Linked DNA regions of Elephas maximus indicus. The protein of the gene in region 3 binds, or shares a complex with, the protein of the main gene of each other region. Links are inferred from orthologs where the notes say so. Each region holds a gene or a part of one and is shown on either strand. Other genes may lie near its edges.

Evidence for each region. The genes of interacting proteins can lie anywhere in the genome.
Region 1: IMMT (region 3) and CHCHD3 share a complex: the UniProt entries of both Homo sapiens proteins name them as parts of the mitochondrial contact site and cristae organizing system (MICOS) complex. The link is inferred for Elephas maximus indicus from reciprocal best matches to the Homo sapiens genes IMMT and CHCHD3.
Region 2: IMMT (region 3) and APOO share a complex: the UniProt entries of both Homo sapiens proteins name them as parts of the mitochondrial contact site and cristae organizing system (MICOS) complex. The link is inferred for Elephas maximus indicus from reciprocal best matches to the Homo sapiens genes IMMT and APOO.

Annotation. Positions count from the first base shown.
Region 1 is NC_064826.1:16,742,164-16,749,697, forward strand, and holds the start of CHCHD3 (MICOS complex subunit MIC19), read left to right. Parts: upstream 1-4,532; 5' UTR 4,533-4,696; coding exon 4,697-4,777; intron 4,778-7,534. UniProt on the Homo sapiens protein: Component of the MICOS complex, a large protein complex of the mitochondrial inner membrane that plays crucial roles in the maintenance of crista junctions, inner membrane architecture, and formation of contact sites to the outer membrane.
Region 2 is NC_064846.1:155,243,849-155,251,070, reverse strand, and holds the start of APOO (MICOS complex subunit MIC26), read right to left. Parts: upstream 3,003-7,222; 5' UTR 2,792-3,002; coding exon 2,783-2,791; intron 1-2,782. Other genes in the region: CXHXorf58 (uncharacterized protein CXorf58 homolog), read left to right, coding at 5,790-7,222. UniProt on the Homo sapiens protein: Component of the MICOS complex, a large protein complex of the mitochondrial inner membrane that plays crucial roles in the maintenance of crista junctions, inner membrane architecture, and formation of contact sites to the outer membrane.
Region 3 is NC_064835.1:48,315,550-48,323,142, reverse strand, and holds the start of IMMT (MICOS complex subunit MIC60), read right to left. Parts: upstream 3,006-7,593; 5' UTR 2,887-3,005; coding exon 2,842-2,886; intron 1-2,841. UniProt on the Homo sapiens protein: Component of the MICOS complex, a large protein complex of the mitochondrial inner membrane that plays crucial roles in the maintenance of crista junctions, inner membrane architecture, and formation of contact sites to the outer membrane.

The DNA of each region.
Region 1 (7,534 bases), on a different chromosome or scaffold from region 3:
TTCCCCCATGTGTCTGTCAGTTTGTTGTACTGTGGGGTCCTGTGTGTTGCTGTGATGCTGGAAGCTATGCCACTGGTATTCAAATACCAGCAGGGTCACCAGTGGTGGACAGGCTTCAGCTGAACTTCCAGACTAAGACAGACTAGGAAGAAGGACCCGGCAGTCCACTTCTGAAAAGAATTAGCCAGTGAAAACCTTATGTGTTTTCAATTGCCTTGTATGCATGCGAAAGCTGGATAGTGAATAAGGAAGACCGAGAAGAACTGATGCTTTTGAATTGTGGTGTTGGTGAAGAGTATTGAATATACCATGGACTGCCAAAAGAAAGAAGAAATCTGTCTTGGAAGAAGTACAACCAGAATGTCCCTTAGAAGCAAGGATGGGCGAGACTATGTCTCACATACTTTGGACATGTTGTCAGGAGGGATCAGTCTCTGGAGAAGGACATCATGCTTGGTAAAGTACAGGATCAGCAAAAAAGAGGAAGACCCTGGATGAGATGGATTGACATAGTTGCTGTAACAATGGGTTCAAGCATAGCAACAAATGCGAGGATGGCACATGACTGAGCAGTGTTTCATTCTGTTGTGCATAGGGTCAATATGAGTCGGAACTGACTTGGCCCCTAACAACAACAACAACATATAGTGCTAAGTGATCTTTGTCAAGCAGAACGGTCGTCGCAGCCCACCCTATGACATGGCACAACATATACAACGTGAGCACTCTTGGAAAAGATAAGCAGGAGCCAAAGATAGATGGTGTTAGGAATTGAATTGTGTCCCCCCATCCCCCGCAAAAAAAAAAAAAAAAGAATATGTTGAAGTCTTAACCCTTGTATGAGTGAAACTGACCTTGCTTGGAAATAAGGTCTTTGAAGATGTTACCAGTTGGCATGTGCTCATAAATACTTTGGGTCCTGATTCAGTCTGAGTGACGGCCATATAAAAGAAGAGACACACCACTTGGCTGTCCCTGATACACTGGGGGAGAGTGTAGGACGAGTAGATGAGAAGAAGGAGTACAAACAGAAAGAACGTGACATGGGATGATAAGCCAGCACTGGGGAGAGAGACCAGGAAAGGCAACCATGTGCCAGCGGAGGCAGAGATTGTAGAAGGCAGAGCTGTAAGCCAAAGAATGCTAGGGACAACTGGCTGTCACAGAAGCTAGGACAGAGGCATGTAATGGATTCTCCCACAGAAGGAATCAACATGGCGGATATCCTGGTTTCAGACATCTAGCCTCCAGACTGGCAAGACTATATATTCCGTTCTTATAAGCCACCCACTTTGTGGTACTTTGTTACAGCAGCCCTAGGGCAGTGGTGCAGAAGGAGAGGTTCCTAAGACGTGGGAAAACTTGACCTCATGCTGTTCTTAGATGCACAGGCAGCATAGTGATCAGCTCTACTCCAACAGTGATGGAGTGTGGGAGACCATGTGATTTGTGCCCTCAAGGTGGAGGGTTACTGTTATAGTGTAGCTGTGATTGTCTTGTTTGCTGACTGGTTCATGCTATTTTGAATCTTTGCATCTCCTCAAGTGTGCTGCCCAAAATTCTTCTTCTCAGAAAATGTCACACAAGCACATACCTGTGCACACACACACACAAATTGAGAACCGCTGCTTTGGGGCTGCACTGCTTTTCTCTGATTCTCTGTACAATAATTGGTGTAAAAAGTTTGAAGGCTGATATTCAGTTATGGGTTGTGGAATAAGCCTGCATCCATATTCTCAGAATATCTTTGTATCGATTGTCCACACTACACATGAAGTACTTTTCGGTGATTTTAATTGGTTTGCTATAACTTTTTTTTTTTTTTTTAATAACTATGGCAACTATATGTCCTAGATTTTCAAGGATGACCTGATTTCAAGGACTGGTTCAATTGTCTCTCTAAGTACACAAATAATAGTGAGAACATATGCTCCAATCTTTAGTTCAGAAAATATGATCATTACAACTATATTCTATTTCAGCAAAGGCCAGAGTATGAGTGCTCTATCATCCAGCTGAAATGCTACTCACAAGAGCTGGGAAGAGGGCTATGATGAACACACTGATTAGCTTTACTAGCTGGAGACCAGGACCGCTCTCTTCTCTGACACCTCATCATCCCATGTGTCTTATTTATCTAGAGATGCTATAACAGAAATACCACAAGTGGATGGCTTTAACAAACAGAAATTTATTCTCTCACGGTTTTTTGTTGTTGCTGTTAGGTGCCATTGAATTGGCCCTGACTGATAGCAGCCGTATGTACTACAGAATGAAAGACTGCCGAGTCCCGCAACATGTTCACAATCATTGTTTTGCTTGAGCCCATTGTTGCAGCCACTGTGTCAGTCCATCTCTTTGAGGGTCTTCCTCTTTTTGCTGACCCTCTACTTTACCAAGCATGATGCCCTTCTCCAGGGACTGATTCCTCCTGATAACATGCCCAAAGTACGTGAGACGTAGTCTCGCTATCCTTGCTTCTAAGCAGCATTCTGATTGTACTTCTTCCAAGATAGATTTGTTTGCTCTTTTGGCAGTCCATGATATATCCAATATTCTTCGCCAACACCACAATTCAAAAGAATCAATGCTTCTTTGGTCTTCCTTACTCATCGTCCAGCTTTCTCATGCGTATGAGGCGATGGAAAACACTTAAGGTTTTCACTGGCTAATTCTTTTCAGACTGCTGGATCCTTCTTCCTAGTCTTTTCTTAGTCTGGAAGCTCAGCCGAAGCCTGTCTGCCACTGGTAACCCTGCTGGTATTTGAATGCCAGTGGCATAGCTTCCAGCATCACAGCAACACACTACCCACAGTACAAGAAACTGACAGACAGGTGGAGAAATATTATCATAGTAGGCATTTTTCCAGGAGTAAGGTGTATCTTTTTTAAAATTTTTATTCAGAAGGCTTCTTTGTGATGATGTTAGTTGAAATGGAGTAGGAATTCTAAATATTTTTAGGTTTCCCGACAGGATAACTGACTTGCTTCTGTTCTCTAAACAGTGAAAGCATCACACCACCATCTTCTGAGGCTTAACCTTCATTATCTTTAGTATATTTGGTTGAAAGAGCTCATTTAAATTCTAAGAAGATAAATATCTCCAAGGTAACTAGCAGTTCCTTCATCCCTCTCTACTCTCTCCAAGAAATGCTTTCTTTGTAAGTAGTTACTGCATCCCGTCGGTGCTACGCATTGGGGTAATAAGTGAGGGTTTGTTTGTGGAGAGGGAGATTCCAAAGGAATGAAAGACATAATTCCCGGGGCTTTTGGTTCCCTGTAGAAGTAAAGTTTAAAGGTACTATACAATTTGAGAGTAAGTACAAAGTAACATGTAGTCTCAAACTGCAATGTAACATCGTACGATTTGGATACATATATGAAGAGACAAACAAAATGATGAGGTGTAATCAATTCAACACTCTGCTACTGACCAGAGATACCCATGGCTGTCGAGTCCATTCAACTCATAGCAACCCTATAACGCAGAGAAGAACTCCCCTATAGGGTTTCCAACGCTGTAATATTTACAGAAGCAGACTGCCACATGCTTCTCCTGTGAAGCCGCTGGTGTGTTAGGACCACCTGCCTTTCACTCAGCAGCCTAGTGCTTAACCACTGGACCACCAGGGCTCCGGCCTGGGGTACAGAGATAAAAAAGAGGTACTTTCTGCTGTAAAGATTCTTATAGTAATAGATAAGCATACAATTGAAGCTCAAAAACGTTACCGCATTGCTGTGGGTGCCTTCGGCATAAGAGGACTGCCACATCGTGTGTGACCCACTGACTTCCAAGTGAAGGAGACACAAATGTGGGAAATAAATGCTCGGGGTGCTTGGTGCAAACAACTTATTTTTCTGTTTTCTCATACGCAGATTTGAAAGCCATAATGTTTTAATTTCTTTTATTTATAATAAGATGTAAAAGAAGTACATAGTTCATGCGATAAGCCCATAGGCCAAATACAGTTCAAAAAAATTTTTTTTCATAACTAAGACTAAAATAAAGAACTGCTAAGTTTTGCCTCAGGGAGTTTTTAAAATAGGAATCTAGGCAGGGCTCCATTAGGAGAGTGCATCTCCCACATTAAACCGTGAGTTCCTTTGGGACAGAGTTGTGTCTTTAACTCACAAGCCTAAGTTTCTAGAATAATGTCTGGCATACAGCACGCCTTCAAAGCATGTTCGTTAAAAAAAAATAGAAATTTTTTTTTTTTTTTTTTAGGGTAGGAAAACTTCATTGAAAGCTGCCAGTTACAAGCCTTTCCTGCCGTCAAGACTACAACTCCCAGAATGCCATGTTCCCTTTGCGCTCTTGGGACGAAGCTGAGGACGCTCCACCACTCACCTCACTAGACCGAAACTACAATTCCCACTATACTCAGGGGTTCCGGAAGCCTTGTTAAACACTACCTGTTGCCATAGCATCCGGGTCCGGACCGACCAACCCGGATGCCCGCGCCTTGTGGAGACGGGCCTTTCTCAGTTCTGACCAACCGGAGGCAGGTTTGCTGTGGCACGTGACCGGAGGGGGCGGGGACTCAGGACCGGCGCCTTCTCCTTGCTCTTTGGGGTCGTGGCCTTGCTCCTGCTGTGCACGGGAAGTGTGCGGGCACCTCCACGCGCGTATGTGAGCGTGGTGCCTGCAGTGCTTGTGAGTCCTCGCTAGGTCGCTGCGCGAGCAGACGCGGGAGCCATGGGCGGGACGGCTAGCACCCGCCGGGTCACCTTCGAGGCGGACGAGAATGAGAACATCACGGTGGTGAAGGGCATCCGGGTGAGTGAGCGGGGCGGGCAGAGCGCAAGCACTCGGACTCAGACCCCGAAGCCTGTGCTCTCGGGACCCGCAGCCCTTGTCCAGCGTCCCAGCCTTCAGTGTTGCCCGGGGAGAAGGCCGGAGTTTCACAACTTGGGACCTCCACTGGGAAAGTAGTTTCTGCTTGTGTACAAGTGCTAGGCACTGTGCTGGGGCGGGTGGGCTGCCAGGTTGAATGGGACCCTCCAGGGGCGCGCAGCCTCGTCTTGACTGTACTTCTCACTAGTTGCGGGACTTTATTTGCAACCTCTGACTGTACTTATTTGTGAAACGGGTCTTTTCTTATGCCTCCTGGTTTCAGGACCCAAACTCTGCTTTTCTGTTGCCACATCACCCCTCTCAGGGCAAATTGGCATTTTAAGGAGCCTCTTTATTTGTGCTTTGTCATCTAGTGTTCTCCCTCTGATACAACCCCCTCCCTCCAACATACACCCCCACACCCCCACACTTTTCTGGCTGTCCTCTGGTGACTTCTGCCTTCTTGACTTTCACTTGATATCTGTCTTTCCCAGGCGCCTTCTCTGTGACCTGCCCTGCTTGAGTCTTGAATTAGGCCCGGTGCTTCAGGACTAATGCCTGCCAGCCTGATTCATTGGCTAGAGGTTGAGATTTGCAGTTTTTCAGACCACTAGAAGTCATATGGAAACCCTGGTGGGTAGTGAGAAGAGCTACAGCTGCTAACCAAAAGGTTGGCATTTCAAATCCACCAGGCACTCCTTGGAAACCCTATGGGGCAGTTCTACTCTGTCCTGTAGAGTCACTATGAGTTGGAATCGGTTCAGTGGCAACGGGTTTGGTTTTTTTTTTTTTTTTTTTGGTAGACGTCGTATTCCCAGTTCTAGATCAAGATATTGTAGGGAAGTTTTTCTTAATTTTTATGCCTTCTGCACGTGCTTGATACATAAACTGAAAACTTGATTTTTCTCCAGGGTGTCTGTCAGTATGCCAGCACTAACTTGATAAACACTCTTCGCTGCACCTGACTTTGGAGCCTCACATTTTTGGAAGTATGATGCCTGAACCTAGTAAATAAAGCAGTCTTGACTTCAGGAAGTTTTATAATATTTTATATGCTTCTTCATCTGTTATTGCACAGCCAGTATAAGTAAATTAAATGTGTAAATTGTTTTTAGCATTTGTTACTAGGAAATAAAGCCTCATAAATATTTAAAGTGTTTAAAAACTTTCTACTCTGAAACTGTTACCTGGAAAACATTTATTAAAGTTTTCTTTTTAGAAACTCAAGACTGTTGAACTCTATTTTTGGCCTGTGGCCAGCCTGCCTTATTAACGGTAGTACCACATTTTGTAATAAAATAATCCGAGGCTGCATTCTTTGCGTTATTGTGGTTTAGTTGGTACTCTTCGGAGTCAAATAAAAATTACTGTAAACCTTGAGTTTTAAGCAGAGGTTTGTTTAATCTTGCTTTTAGGCCTTTGGTGTTCCACACCAGAGAGTAGAAGTAAGAAAAAATACAGTAAATTTTGGGTAAGAAGACAATGAGTAGACAAATCTGTAAATCTGCATTCTCATGCTTTAGTTCAGATAGTGGTGGTCGCAAACAAAACCGAAAGACAATTTGGCCACAGTGCAGACATTCATATGAAATGTTAGATGCACAAGGCTGAATAGGATAAATATGACAGTAGGGCTAGGTGATAGATTAAAATGGAAAGATTGTTTAAAAAACCTTTTTTTTTTTTTAAATAAACTGTGTCCCTTGGACACTAAAATTGACAGAAGCATTCCTGCATTCTTTATTGTTTTCATTCTCATACATTATATCTTATCTGCATTGAAAAAATTCAAGCACATGCCATACTCGTTTTGATCGCCGTGCTTTCCTTCAGAATATACCCTTCACCTGGAATGCCCTTGGACTATGCCCTGTTCCTTCAAATCCTTTTTCAAGGGTGACTTGAAATCTCTCTGAGCCTCAGCTTTCTCATCTGCTAAATGTATGCCTCTGAGGACCTCTCATCTTTTCTTGTTTTGACTATGAGTCTAGTTGTGCTCTAAGTTTCTTGTAGCCATACTCAGCCCATTGCTGTTTTCTCTACAATGGCAAGCTATTGAATTGTTGAGTACTCAGAGTCCATTCTGATATCTTGGAGGTCATGGTAAAAAGAGCATGAATTTGGAGTTAAACAAACTTCAGTTTAATTTTCTAGCCTTTTGGCCATGGACAAATCACTTCTCTGATTCTTTCTTTATCCCTAGGGGGAATACCATCACTTATGTTAATTAATTGAGGTAAGAAGATGATAGGATTCCTTCAGTATCTAAAGTTCAAAGACTCTTTGGAAGTGTTGTGTAGTGTTGGGGAGGCAGCATGTGCTTTGGAGCCAGGCAGACCTGGTTTGGATCCTAACTCTGCTTCTCAGTAGCTGTGTGGCCCTGGACAAATCACTTTTGTTTTAAATTTTATTGTGCTTTAAGTGAAAGTTTACAAATCAAGTCAGTCTCTCACACAAAAACCCATATACACCTTGCTACACACTCCCAATTACTCTCCCCCTAATGAGACAGCCCGCTCTCTCCCTCCACTCTCTCTTTTCATGTCCGTTTCGCCAGCTTCTAACCCCCTCCATCCTCTCATCTCCCCTCCAGGCAGGAGATGCCAACATAGTCTCAAGTGGACAAATCACTTTTGATTGTGTTTCGTTGTTCAGTGTATCTGGAGAATGCAACCTGCTTGTGAGATTTGTGGGAGCCCT
Region 2 (7,222 bases), on a different chromosome or scaffold from region 3:
TCCCTACAGGACACAGTAGAACTATCCTATGGGGTTTCCAAGGAGTGGCTAGTGGATTTGAACTGCTTATCTTTTGGTTAGCAGCCAAGCTCTTAACCACTCCATTTTGTTCATGATTAAGGTAAAGTGACTCCATCCCAAGGAATTGAGCCTGATTAAGCCAATCAAAGCACTACATTCTGCTACTGGTTCCGGAACAGACACCTGACCTAAATTGGTCCAATCAGACTGAACAGTTACCAGTTGCCATGGGGTTGATTCCCTCTGACCCACGGAGACTCCATGTGTAAGGACGGGCATAATCCAAGCTTAGGGAAGTTTTCTTTTTCTAATGAATAAGAAAGCATGTATGCTATGGTCGGTCATTCTGCCACCGTGAGGGGAACCAATTTTACTGTGGAAAGCCAAGAAAAGAGACTGAGTCCTTGATGACACTGTTGACCCATTATAATGAACCTGGAGTCAACCTTTCCTCTGGACTTTGTGAGATCATTTTATTATTTTAAGTGGTCAGATTTTCCATTATTAGCAGCTCCCTCCCTTGATTTTCTAAACATCACTTTCTTCTGCTCCTACTTCTACTTCTCAAAAGTTGCCACTCCATTTCTGGTCTCCCCTCTTCCTCTGCCTACTCCTTGCATTTTGGTGTTCAAGGTTTGTTGTGATCTTTTCTACTCACACTATATGTTCACTTGGAACAATTACAGTTCACTGCATGTCTCCCTTGACAAAGCAGAACTGAGCCACTCGCACCTCCCCCGATGGAGTACCACTGTTGATGATGTTCTCCAGCTCATCTACCTGAAGAACTCCTACTTGTCTTTCGAAACTAAATTTAAATGTCTCCTCTGTGACACTCTCCCTGAAGACTCCAAGGGTTCCTTGCTTTTTTTGTGCCATGAACATCTCTGGCAGTCTGTTGGGCCCTATAGACCCCTTCTAATGCTTCTAATTGCATAAAATACCAATTATATTGAAATACTTATAAAAATACTCTTAAAACCTAAATGTCTGATATAGTGTATGTGCTTCTTTATTAGCTCTTTAAATACACAGATCTAGCAGTGGGTCTTGCAACTACTGTGATTTTGAAGTAGTGATGAGAATAAATGATATGTTGAGACCTGCAACAACTGTAATGGGCATTGGTACTGTGACTTCTACTGGTGATAGGTACTGCTAGAACTACTGTGGTTTGCTGCTGTAGTAGCTTATAGATTAATGGTCCCCAATGAATCACATCTCCTGGTAACCATGCCCTTTTGTACTCTCCCCACACTGACTCTTAGCTTGGCCATGTGACTTGCTGTGACACCAGCAAATGTGATGCAAGCAAAGGCTTTTTAAGTGTTTGCACACTGGGACTTGTCCTCTTGGAGCCCAGCAACCATGCGAGGAAGCCCAAGCTAGACATATGGAGGGGCGCCAAGTATCCAGACATGTGTGAGGCCACCTTTCAGTCCAGTCACCACTAAATTCAGCCATTGGGGGACACTAGCAGAACTGCCCAACCAACCCACAGCCAGTGCTTCCAGCAAGTTCTGCCTGGTTCAGTCATGGCCAACTAAGCAAAACCTGAATGAACCCCAAGTTTTAAAATGTAGGTGAAACGGAACGATAAGCAGAATGGGAAAAATTACTGGTCATAGCCCTGCTAGAAACTTAATCCCCCTCTTAGAAAACAAGGGCAGCAAGCACATTGCATAACCACCAAATCTCTTGACCACATAATTTGGAAACAGCCATGTGGCTCAAACACGGAGGCCAACTGCACCACTTTGAATGTGTGTGGCTCTCCATAGTCCTGGCAATAATCCAATCTCCTGCATCAGGCTCCTGTAAGGGCTCACTATGTCTATTTCAAGTCTCCCATTCCAGGGCTTCGACCCGTAATTTCTCTCATTCTGCCTCACCCAAGTTTGACTGCACCAGTTCAAAGCCCTACCCACAGCTCATGCAAAATAAGATAACGCTGATAATAAATTAGTACAATTTTTAGGTTTCATTGGTACTTTCTTATGAGTACTACTTGATGGCTCAATTTTGTAGGTTTTTGGTAGCCTTCGATTTGTTTTCCATGACAAAAAAAATCACCTACTTTTTTTAACGTAGCTTTGTTAAAATGCAGGTTTTCGCAACAAAGTTTTCACTGTAAAAGTCAGTTTTTTGCAAACGACACCAGTCCATAAAATGTAAAGGGAATCGACTTGTCTATATTAAGTTCATCGGGGAGCAGAGCAAAACTCCAGCTTTCCTCCTTACACAGCTACTCCCACTTCAGCCTCCCCCACACCCTGTAGCACCTTCTCGGAAGGTGACCCTCCCAACCCCACACACACCTGGTTCTGAAACCGGACCCAGCCTGGCAACCAAAACCAACCTCTGCAGTGCGCGGTGCTGGCCTCGACCTAGCCACGCTTCTAAGCGGGCGCCAGCCAGAGGAAGGGGTTGGATACTTTAACTTTTCAAAAATGTTTTATTCACCACAGCACAACCCAAATGGCCGCCCCCACCCAACCCAGGATTTCGCCAGCCTCGGTCCCAGCGCAGGACGCCCCACGCGCGCCACAGATGCGGCGGCACGCTCGAGCTTCCGCCGGCAATCGCTTGCCCCACGCGGACCGGTGAATGAACCGCGGGCCAGGACACAACCAGCCCGGAGGCGGGAAAAGCCTCTGGGCGAGCAGAGTCTGGTCCCGAAGAGGCCCACAAGAGCGCCGGGGAGAGTTCCGTGCGACCGGGAGGGGGCGGTGACAGCTTTGCCCGGGCTCCGCGCTCTCACCTTGAACATGTCGCTGGCAGCCGCGGCTCCGGCGGGGTCACCCCGGCCTCGGCCCCGCCCACTGCAGAGAGGAGGCTACGGCGGCCCGGTAGGGCCCGGCTTCCGCCGACCGCGAATGGACTGCGGTGCAGGCGACGGCTGTGCCGCTGACTCGATCCGATCCAGCGAAGGCTTAGCTAACCACTCGGGGCTGGAAGCAACGTAGCTGAGCTGCAGCTAGTCACGGCCCACCTGCTAGCGCACACAAGCCCCGCCCCCTCGAGGCTCCGCCCCTGCGCCGGCTGTTGCTAGGCAACGAGAAAGCGCGGCTTTGTGTGGCAGGAACGCGGGGGCGCGCGGAGGGAGGTGCCGGGCGTCGGCCTGCTCGGCCGCAGCGGTTGGGAACCGCGAGGTGTGGACCGGGCAGCCTGTGCTCGGAGGCCGCCGGGCGGGGGCGCTCGGCGGGTCTCTGGAAGCTTCGAAAGCTTCGCAGCCGGAAGCCGCCATCCTCAGAGGACTGGATTTACCTCACAAAGGTTTTCAGGTTTTTACAGTGGGGTTCACATTTCTAAGGTTTTAAGTTTAAACGAATTTGCCACTCCCTTTAGTCGTGAAAGGCATTTTTTTTTTTCTTTTTAAGATGCTTAAGTGTAAGCTCCTCACTAGGAATCATGTGTATCCCTTACTACTAGTAGAGATAAAGGTCATAATTATCTTATTAACAAGAATAGCAAACATAGTGTGCCCAGCTCTGAGCTATAAGCCTTTGACATATGCTTATTTAATCTTTCCAACAACCCAAGTAGGTGGGCACGATTATTATTCCCAATTTATAGCTGAGGAAACAGGCATAGAGAAGAAACTTGCGTAAGGCCACAGGGATGAAAAGTAGGAAGCCAAGATCCAAACAACCCAGTGAGTCTGGCTTTAAAGCTTGTGCTCTAGCTTTTGGGCTAGCCTAAAGAATTGTTATACTGTTTCATAATTGGGGTGTAGTTCACATTTCACTCTGTAGTTCACATTCTAATCCTGTAAAAACTGAGCCCCATCTAGGCGGGCATTCCTTAGATTTGGGCGGTGTGCAGTGACATGTAACTGCCCTGCAGCCAAAGACCACTAGGAATATACCTGTGGTTGAACAAGTTGGGTTTATTTTCTCATAACTGTGACGGAGGACACACACCTTGGGGAACAGTGGAACATCCCAGTAAGAGGGTGTTAGATTTGTTATAGGATTTGGGCTTTGGTTGGGTGATTTGGGGGTGAGTTTAAAGAAGCAGACTTTGCTCTGGATTGGATGCTATCAGGATGTGGGGGTAACACTGAGGCCCGGCCAGGACAGCTTTCAGATGTTAAGGGCTGCTTTTTTCTTTCTCAGGAGAATTGTATATTCCAGGCCATCCTCATCCCTAAGGAGAAATACTGAACAGATGAAGGCTCTGCACTGGTAATGTAATCTTACACAAATATAAGAGTGTAAGGCATAACAATAACTTAGTGCAACAGTTCTTAATTCAGGGGTTATGTGACTTTGGATGGAGAAAAAATTACAACTTTACCCTCACTAACCTCTAACTGAACTTTAGCGTTTCTTTCAGTTATTGTGTAGATGAAAAGGCACAGTAGTATTAGCAGTACCTATCACTTTTGTCATCAATAGAAAACAGATATTTTCATATCACATTACACTCATGGCAGATATCTTGAGATGCCATTTATGCTCATTACTGCTTTGAAAGTACAGTAGTTATTAGATATCCCATTTTATTTAATGCATATGCAGAAGGCACATTAATGTATCATAATTTTGTTTTTCAAAATATTTCGACAATGATTTCAGTATAACTGAAGTCCTTTGTAATCCTATGTATTTTATTTATGCATCAAAAAACAATTCTTAGAGGGTGTCTATCCATAGAGATTCATGGCACCAAATAAAAAGATAAAAAGCCCCTGGTTTAACAGAACGGATTAAGCAGTTACTAAGAATTTGGGACCTGCATCCAAATTGGATTAACGCTTCAAAGGCTGGAAGGTTGGATGTGGAATCAGATAATTTAGTACACACATCAATTTACCAAGGAGAGAACTGAGCCACTGAGAAGTTAAATAACTTGCTCCAAGTCTCACAGCTATTTGGTGATAAAACATTTTCAGACAAGCATGTAAAAATCTACTCTGCTAAAAAAAAAATTTTTTTAGGTACTGCATATTTCATAGTAAGATGCCTCCTACCCTCAATGAGCTTGTTGGAGTGACAGCCAAGAAAACAAATTTTAATGCAATATGAGAAGTACTATAAAAGAAGTATGTACAGAATATAATGGGACCTTGGAGAAAGGAGTAAGTAGTTCCGTAAAAAAAAGAGAAAGGGGAAATTTCAGGGAAGAGGCATCAATTAGCTGGGGTCTTAAAGGATGAATTAGTATTTGCTGGTGGTAGGAAGGTCATTGTCAGTAGAGGAAATGGCATGATCAGAGGTACAGAGATGTAAAACATTGACCGATTTTGGCAAGAAGTTCTTGGTTCTTTCAGAGTGTAGAAAGGAAGGCTGGTGAAAGGTGTTTTAAAATTGAGAGAATGGAGCAAAACTGAAAAGACTTGAACCCATTCTAAGGAGTTTGGGCTTCATCTTGGAGGAAATGAGGTGTCACTGAAACATTTCAAGTTGAGAAGTGATAAGGTTGAATTACTGCTCTAAAAAATTAATTGCAGCTGCAGTGTTGAGGATGACTAGGAGGAGGAAGAGACTGGAGACAGGGAGACCAGTTGCAAAGCTACTGATAAATCCACTTGTCTTTTCCATATAACCAAAAAAAAAAAACCAAACCCACATACTATTTTAGTACACAAAGAATGTGAACTATAAGCAATATTAAGAGATCCATGATTTGTTCCTTTTTAAAGGGTTCTGGAATTAGGACAACAATAATATGGCACTTGAGTCTAGTTCAGACAATGTAATAATATAGATTATGACCTTAAAGGATTAATTTATGTACTTTCAGGTTACTTCATTGTAAGGGAAATGGATTCTTCCTCAGATCCACCAGGTACTAGTGTTCCAAAATCAGATAACCAATGCTCAGAAAAGGGCCAGAAAACAACCGTGGAAATTCTAAGGAAAATGAGTTCTTCTTCGGATCCACCAGGTACTAGTGTTCCAAAATCGGATAACCAAGAGTCAGAAAACGACCAGAAAACTGTGGAAATTCTAAGGAAAATGAGTTGTTCTTCGCATCCACCAGGTACTAGTGTTCCAAAATCAGATAACCAAGAGTCAGAAAACAACCAGAAAACTGTGGAAATTCTAAGGAAAATGAGTTCTTCTTCAGATCCACCAGGTACTAGTGTTCTAAAATCAGAAAACCAACATTCAGAAAGAGGCCAGAAAAAAACTGTGAAACATCTAAGGAAAATGAGTTCTTTCTCAGGTCCACCAGGTGCTAGTGTTCCAAAATCAGATAACCAACACTCAGAAAGAGGCCAGAAAACAACTGTGAAACATCTAAGGAAAATTAGTTCTTCCTCAGGTCCACCAGGTACTAGTGTTCCAAAATCAGATAACCAACACTCGGAAGAAGGACAGAAAAAAACTGTGGAAATGCTAAGGAAAATGAGTTCTTCCTCAGATTCACCAGGTACTGATGTTCCAAAATCAGATAACCGACACTCAGAAAAAGATCAGGAAACAGCTGTGGAAATTGTAAGGAAAATGAGTTCTTCCTCAGATCAGCAAGGTACCAGTGTTCCAAAGTCAGATAACCAACACTCAGAAAAAGAGCAGAAAACAACTGTGGAAATTCTAAGGAAAATGAGTTCTTCTTCAGATCAACCGGGTACTAGTGTTACAAAATCAGATAAGCAATACTCAGAGAGAAGCCAGAAAACAACTGTGAAACATCTAAGGAAAATGAGTTCTTCCTCAGGTCCACCAGGTACTAGTGTTCCAAAATCAGAAAACCAACACTCAGAAAAAGACCAGGAAACAACTGTGAAAAATCTAAGGGAAATGAGTTCTTCAGACCCACCAGGTACTGATGTTCCAAAATCAGATAACCAATACTCAGAAAGAGGCCAGAAAACAACTGTGAAACATCTAAGGAAAATGAGTTCTTCCTCAGGTCCACCAGGTACTAGTGTTCCAAAATCAGATAACCAATACTCAGAAAGAGGCCAGAAAACAACTGTGAAATATCTAAGGAAAATGAGTTCTTCCTCAGGTCCACCAGGTACTAGTGTTCCAAAATCAGAAAACCAACACTCAGAAAAAGACCAGGAAACAACTGTGAAAAATCTAAGGAAAATGAGTTCTTCAGACCCACCAGGTACTGATGTTCCAAAATCAGATAACCAACACTCAGAAAAAGACCAGGAAACAACTGTGGAAATTCTAAGGAAAATAAGTTCCTCAGATTCACCAGGAACTAGTGTTTCAAAATTAGATAACCAACACTCAGG
Region 3 (7,593 bases):
GTGAGGTAGAACAGAAAATGAAATATGCAAGGAACTAAATTAGGAAGAGCCCTGTGGGTGTGACAGGATGTCACCAAAGGGTATGACATGATCTGCGTGCTTTTAAAAAAGGCTTTAATAACCACTATATAAAGAACTGGAGCCCTGGTGGCACAGTGGTTAAGAGCTCAACTGCTAACCAAAAGGTTGGCAGTTTAAATCCACCAGCCGCTCCTTGGGAACTCTATGAGGCAGTTCTACTCTGTCCTGTATGGTCACTATAAGTTGGAATCGACTCAATGGCAATGGGTTTAGTTTTGGAATACATAAAGAACTGACTCTAGAAGGATGACAGGAAAAGCAGGGAGATATTTAAGAAAGGGTTTGATGGGAAGGATCTTGACAACTGGAATATTTTGGACAAAATTGACAAAATCAAACAAGAATTCAGAAATGTGAATACAAAGCTCAAAAAAGAAGGCTGAAGAGTCATGTGCTTAGGGATTGAAGTTCTGAGTATTGATGTAACTCTAGGTAAAAGAGTACAGAAAAGCAACGTGGTTACGTTTAGAGGGACAAGAAGCATCAGCCTCAATAAAGGAAACAGGAGAGAAACAAAAGGTTAAGATGGAAGCCAAAATATTGTGTGAGTGAAGCTAAAACAGCAAAGAGTTTCACAAAGCAAAACATGAAATGTTATATACAATGACTAAGGAGACGGTGAGAATAAACCAATAAATTTTACAAGACGCTATCTCAGGAAGATTAGTCGTTTTGGTTTAGAGTTACAAAAGGGTTCATAGTTTAGTACGAAAAAGTAGTTCCTAAATGGTATCCCAGTAAGTATCAAAGTATTTTGATAAAGAAATGGAAAATGTAATTTTGGAGTTTAGGGGGGGACACAAAGGAGATAATCAGTGAGAATTCTGATGTAACCTGAAGGCAGAATAAGGAAGAGCATGTCACTAAAAAACAAAACAAAACAAAAAAAAACAAGGGCTCTGTTGCCATATAGTCAATTCTGCTCCTGGCGATCCCATGTGTTGGGAGTAGAACTGTTCCACAGGGTTTTCCTGGCTGTGATTTTTATAGATGCGGATCACCAGACCTGTCCTCTGCAGAGCTGCTGCGGGGGTTCATACTGGCTCCGAAGACAAACTTCAACAGTTCTGTCCTGAAAGGCAGCTCTGTTTCCTCCACTCTTTCTAGCCCCACTTGGGTCCTGTGGTAGGCAGAATTCCATGATGGCCTCCACAATCTCCATTCCCCTGCTGTTACCTTCATGACTAGGGTTATGGGGCAAGAGAGATTTAGCTGATGTAATTCAGGTTACTAACCAGTTGACTTTGAATTAACCAAAACGGAGCTTAACCAGGTGGGCCTTGACACAAGCTCTTTAAATTTGGGTCTAGAGGTCAGAGACTGGAAAGTTAAGACAGATTTCAAAGTCAGAAAGACAAGCGCCTGTTGGCCTAGAAGAAAGGAAACATCCACGTTATGTACCTCCCGTGGGGGCCTCATGGCAAGGAACTCCAGGCAGTCTCTAAGACCCGAGCACAGTGGCGACAGTTAGCAAGAAAAAAGGAACTTCAGTTCTACAGCTGCAAGGAACTGAATTCAGCCAACGAAGCACATGAGCCTGGAAGAGGACTCTGAGCTCCAAATGAGAACCAAGCACAGTCACCACTTTGACTGCAGCCTGTGTGACCCTGAGCAGAGAACCAGCTCATTCATGCCAACTTTTAACCTATAGTAACAGTAAGATAATACTTAAGAGTTGTTTTAAGTTGCCAATTTGTTTTAGTTTTTAATGCAATAATAGAAACTAACAGTCCCTGCTTTCCTACAGATCAGGCTGCTGCTTCTCATTCATCCCCCCAGCAACGAATGGATAGAGAAGCAAACTTGAAAATAAGAAGTTTTATTTTTATGATCTTATTCACTATGCCTGGAGAATTTGTTCAATTAATGCCAGAGTCACAAGTACCTGTTTCGCAATGTAACACTTAACCAAAATATAAATTTTCTGAAACTGTGAGCAATGGAAATAGGCTTACCTTTTTTTTATTTTTAATTTGGAATGCTACTTTGATAATTACGCAGAACTAAAAGAGGTTTAGGTGTCCAGGCTCCTCTAATGTCAGCCAAAGTCGTACCAGCACCTGGGGACACAGATCCCCAGGCTAACCTCAGAAATGGGCACAAGGTCATGACTCCTGTTCTCTCTCAAGCACCAGAAGTTTGAGCTTCATAAACTAGAATCTTTCAGTTTTGTCTACAGTAACAATAGCTCTGATGTGTTCTCTGCTACGGAAAAAAAAGCAAAGCTGTCCCTCCAGATCATTACAACCTTGACACCACACCCCCAAACCACATACTCTTTATCCCAGCTGTCCAGGCACCTCCTTGTTACAGACAACAAGCCTAGGATACGAACGTCCTGCCGGGAGCTCTAGTTCTCCCCACTTCGACCTTCAACCACTGGCTGCGCGAACCCACCGCTTTCACGTGCCCAACCGGCGACCCGGGCGCCAGCAGCCAGGATTGGTCCCTGACTGGGGCAGATCGGTGCTGATTGGATAACACGTCCCCGAAGCCGCGCCCCCCTCCCTGCGCCCGCCTCCCCGCCACCTTCCCTCCACACCTCACCCCGCTTCACCAATAACCCTCAGTCATCCCAGCCCGACGAACTACCCCACTTAACTGCCTCACGGGTCCGCCCGGAACTCTCATAATGAGGGCGACTCTGACATATGCCTTTGTCCCGGGGCCTACGCAAGGCCTAAGCCGCCCCCGTTTTCTGCCGTCTGCCCAAGTCAGCTTCCTCACGCGCTCTCGCGGGGCACCCACTCCCGCGCTCACCTGGGCGGCAGCGGTCACGCCCGATAACTGACAGGCCCGCAGCATCTCGGCGGCCGGGCGGACGGCAATAAGGGCGTAGGCGGGAGCTGCCGCGGCGGCGCGAGTAAGGGAGGGAGGGCGTGCGTGCGTGCGTGCGGGCGGGCGTGCGTGTTTGCGTCCGGGTCGCTCCTCCGCGCCGGGATCACAGGAAGAGCAGCGAACTCCACTGCGCACGCGCAGCCTTTTCCCCGCCCTTCCCACTCCCTCCCACCTCCCACGCCCCCGCCCAGGATGCTCTGGGAGAGCGCGCCCGCTGGGATAGTAGCCGGCTGCGGTACTCAGGCAGTAGAGGGCCTTGCGAGTCGGAAACGATTGCTGAGAAGGCGGTGGAAGGGGCGACTTCTTCCGGGTCGTGCTCGGGCTCCTGGTGGGAGAAGGAACACCGGAGGCAGCGTTGTGCTGAATGTGTCGTTCACGTACGTGACCGCTGGCGGAGCAGGCGTAACCCCCCAAAACCACACCCATTGCCCTCGAGTCAATTGCGACTCGTCGTGACCCTGTAGGACAGAGTAGAACTCCCCCATAGAGTTTCCAAGGAGCGCCTCGTGGATTCAAACTGCCGACCTTTTGGTTAGCAGCCATAGGTCTTAACCACTAGATAGGAACCCAGATTCTTTGGGCTGCACGGCCGCGGCTTCTACTCCTTCAGACTAAACCACGGTTTTCTTCATGAAGTTTTTATTTTAGATAATTTTGGCTGCAGCCTGTGGGCTGAGTTAGAAGTCTGCAGAAACTTGTACAGAGTCCCACAGAGTCTGTAATCGTATACATGGTAAATAGCCACCGTTATGCAAATACTGTTAGTGATCTTTATTACCATGAGAATATGCTAGAAACTGAATAACTTGTATATCTATTGAATAGCTTGTATATCTTCTATTGTGTTTGCAAAGCGTTTTCAATGTCTAACGAGATCATTTATCACAGTATAGGGTTCTCCCTAGGAATAGATGGCACTACTACTCCCACTTGTAAAATGGAGAAATGGATTTGAAAATTACCTAAAATAATTATGTCTGTAAATTCTCCATGCTTTTAAGGTCGATTAGTAATTACATTAGACTTGCTTTATTTCATATCTCTGTCACCTAAGGGCCTCCAAGCAGTCTCTCTTTTCCTTAGCAACTTCAGCAATTGAATTGCGGTCTTCCCATCCCCATCCTGCCTACCACTGTTAAGCTAGGCGATGCCAGCATGACGCGTTTTCTAACACCTTGGCCTTGAACTCAGTGCCAATGAGCAGTTTCATTCTACTCCAGCCCTGTATGACACAGCAACACCTCAGGCTGGATATCATTAGCAGCCTCTCTGGCTTCACTATCTCAAACCCCGAAATTAATTTCTGTGCGTAGTTTCCTAATCTTTCACCTAAGTCCTAAATCTTCACCCTTGACATGCTTCTTACTAGATCTTAAGATGTATTGTTATCAGGACTCTCCTAAAGTAACTCAGAGGTTCAAATCACATCACTCCTTAGTTCAGAAACTTTCAGTGAGCCTTTATGCAATGCCTGTCGTCGTCATCTAGTGCTGCTGTAACAGAAATACCACAAGTGGATGGCTTTAACAAAGAGAAATTTATTTTCTCACAGTTTGGGAAGCAAGAAGTCCGAATTCAGGGTGCCAGCTCCAGGGGAAGGCTTTTTCTCGCTGTCAGCTCTGGGGAAGGTCCCTATCATCAGCCTTCCCCAGTCGAGGAGCCTCTTACCGCAGGGACCCCAGGTCCAAAGGACATGCTGCTCTCCTGGCTCTTGTTTCTTGGTGTTATGACGTCCCCATGTCTCTCTGCTTTCTTCTCTCTTTTCTATCTCAAAAGAGATTGATTTAAGATACAACCTAATCTTGTAGCTTGAGTCTTGCCTCATTAACATAACTGCCACTAATCCCACATCATTAACATCACAGAGATAGGATTTACAACACATAGGAAAATCACATCATATGACAAAATGATGGACAATAACACAATACTGGGAATCATAGTCTAGCCAAGTTGACACATATTTTGGGGGGACACAGTTCAGTCCAAAACAGTCTCAATATACTTTTCCAGCATATGTAGATGTCTTTGGACTCACAGTAGCTGCTATAGTTGGGAGATTAAGGTGGCAGCAATTGTATTCAAAACCTGTCACCCACTTACACACCCTATATCCCAGATAAACTGAAGTCCAACCATCTTAGTGGCTCTAAGGGAGCTAGGGACCCCCTGGGAAGCCTGTGGCCTTTTCATGGAGATCCACAAAATCAAAACTGTTTTCACAATAATAAATTATTTGCCTTTTTAATTCTCATTAACTCATTAGTGTACAGTAAAGTTTTTCCAGAGACCATCCATCTATCACTGGAAGTTTGTGTGTTGCTATGATGCTGGACAAGTTTCAGCAGAGCTTCCAGACTAAGATGGACTAGGAAGAAAGGCCTGGGAATCTACTGCTGAAAATCAGCCAGTAAAAACTGTGGATCACTATGGAACGTTATCCAGTCCGTAATCGACCATGGGAATGGCACAGGACCCAGCAGCATTTCCTTCTGTTATCCATTGGATCACCATGAGTCAGGGCCAACTCGATGGCAACTAACAACAACATGATATGATACTGTAACACATTGAATGTAGAATCAAATTTTATAATCTAGTATTCTATTAAGTTAGACGTTAAAGAGATTTGCAAAAGGTAAAATAATGCCACTTGTCTTATGCTGGGCTCTCTAGAGAAGCAAAACCAGTGAAGCATATATATAGGCCCTGGTGGTACAGTGATTAAGAGTTAACAGCTGCAAACCAAAAGGTAGGCAGTTCAAATTCACCAGTCATTCCTATAAACCCTGTGGCTTAGTTCTACTTTCCTGTAGAGTTGCTGTAAGTCAGAATTGACTCGATGGCAAGGGGTTTATTTATTTATTTTGGTTTTATATATATACATAGAGAGAGAGAGAGATTTATATCAGAAATGGCTCACACGGTTGTTGAGGCTGGAAAGTCTCAAGTCTGTGGGTCAGGCTGGAGGTTTCCACTGACATAGCTGCAGGGGCTGACAATCCGAAGATCGGCAGGTAAGCTGCTAGCTCAAGTCCCAAGAACCGGAGGTCAGATGATGACAAGCCAGATGCAGGATCCAGAGCGAGCAAGAGCTTTGCCGGAGAAGTCCACATATATTGGCTGCAGGCCACACCCCCAAGGAAACACCCTTTCAAGTGATTGGCTGCTTATAGCAGATCTCATCATGGAGGTGATTACATCATTACATAGCTACCAAACTACATCCTAACTGCCAAACCACTGAGATTCATGGCCCAGCCAAGTTGACACACAGCCTTAACCCTCACACCACTCTTCCCATTAATTATTATTTTGAAATAGTTATTTTTCATAAAAGCATGTTAACATGTAATGAGTTCATAATTGTTATTTTAAAATGAGTACACACGCTAGGGAGAATAATGGCCCCCCAAAGACGTCCCAGCAACCATCCATCAGTTTGTTGTACTGAGGTGGTTTGCATGCTGTTTTGATGCTGGAAGCTATGCCACTGATATTTCAAACACTAGCAGGGTCACCCAAGGTGGACAGATTTCAGTGGAGCTGCCAGGCTAAGACTAGGAAGAAAGGCCTGGTGATCTACTTCCGCAAATTCACCAAAGAAAACTTTATGGATCGCAACACAGTATTGTCTAATACACTGCTGGAAGATGAGCCCAAGCATACAATCATGAAGGTGGGGAAGGACCGGGCAATGTTTCATTCTGTCATACATGAGGTTGCCATGGGTCAGAGTTGACTCAATGGGTACTAACAACAACAAAGATCCCCATGCCCTAGCCCCTGAAACCTGTGAACGTGTTACCTTGTATGACAAAAGGGACTTTGCAGATATGATTAAGTAAGGATCTTGAGGGACTATCCTGAATTATCTCTTGTGCCCAGTGTAATCACAAGGGTCCTTGTGAGAGAAAGAAGTAGGCAGGAGATGTGATGGCGGAAGCAGAAGTCAGAGTGATGTGATTGCCAGCTTTGAAGATGGAAGGAGACCATGAGCCAGGGAGTGCAAGCCGTCTCTGCAAGCTGGAAAAGGCAAGGAAAGAGATCTCCCCTAAAAACAAACAAACAAAAAAACCCATTGCCATCAAGTTGATTCTGACTCACAGCAACCCTAGAACCTCCAGAAGGAACACAGCCCTTCAAACACCGTGATTTTAGCCCAGCGAAAGCCTGTTTGCACTCCTGCCTACGGAACTGTAAGATGATAAATTTGTGGTGATTTGTTATAGCAGCAATAGGAAATTAATAGAATGAGCATTTTCATTGTTTCTCCATTTTAATATCTAATACAGTAAATACCAGTAGATATAATCCATATAATTAAAAGCTCTTTGGAGTCCTCAATAATTTTGAAGAGTGTAAAGGGGTTCTGAGACCAAAAAGTTTGAGAACCTCTGCTCTAAATAAATTCTGTATCGTCGCTCCCTCTCTTCCCACTTGAGGTCTATTCTTAACTCCCTAGAATGACCTCACACTTGTTAAAATCCTCCCCATTCATTAAGACCCATTGTCTTAATCATCTAGTGTTGCTATAACAGAAATACCACAAGCGGTTGGCTTTAACAAAGAGAAATTTATTCTCTCACAGTCCAGTAACCTAGAAGCCGAATTCAGGGCGCCAGCTCCAGGGGAAGGCTTTCTCTGACTGTCGGCTCTGAAGGAAGGTCCTTG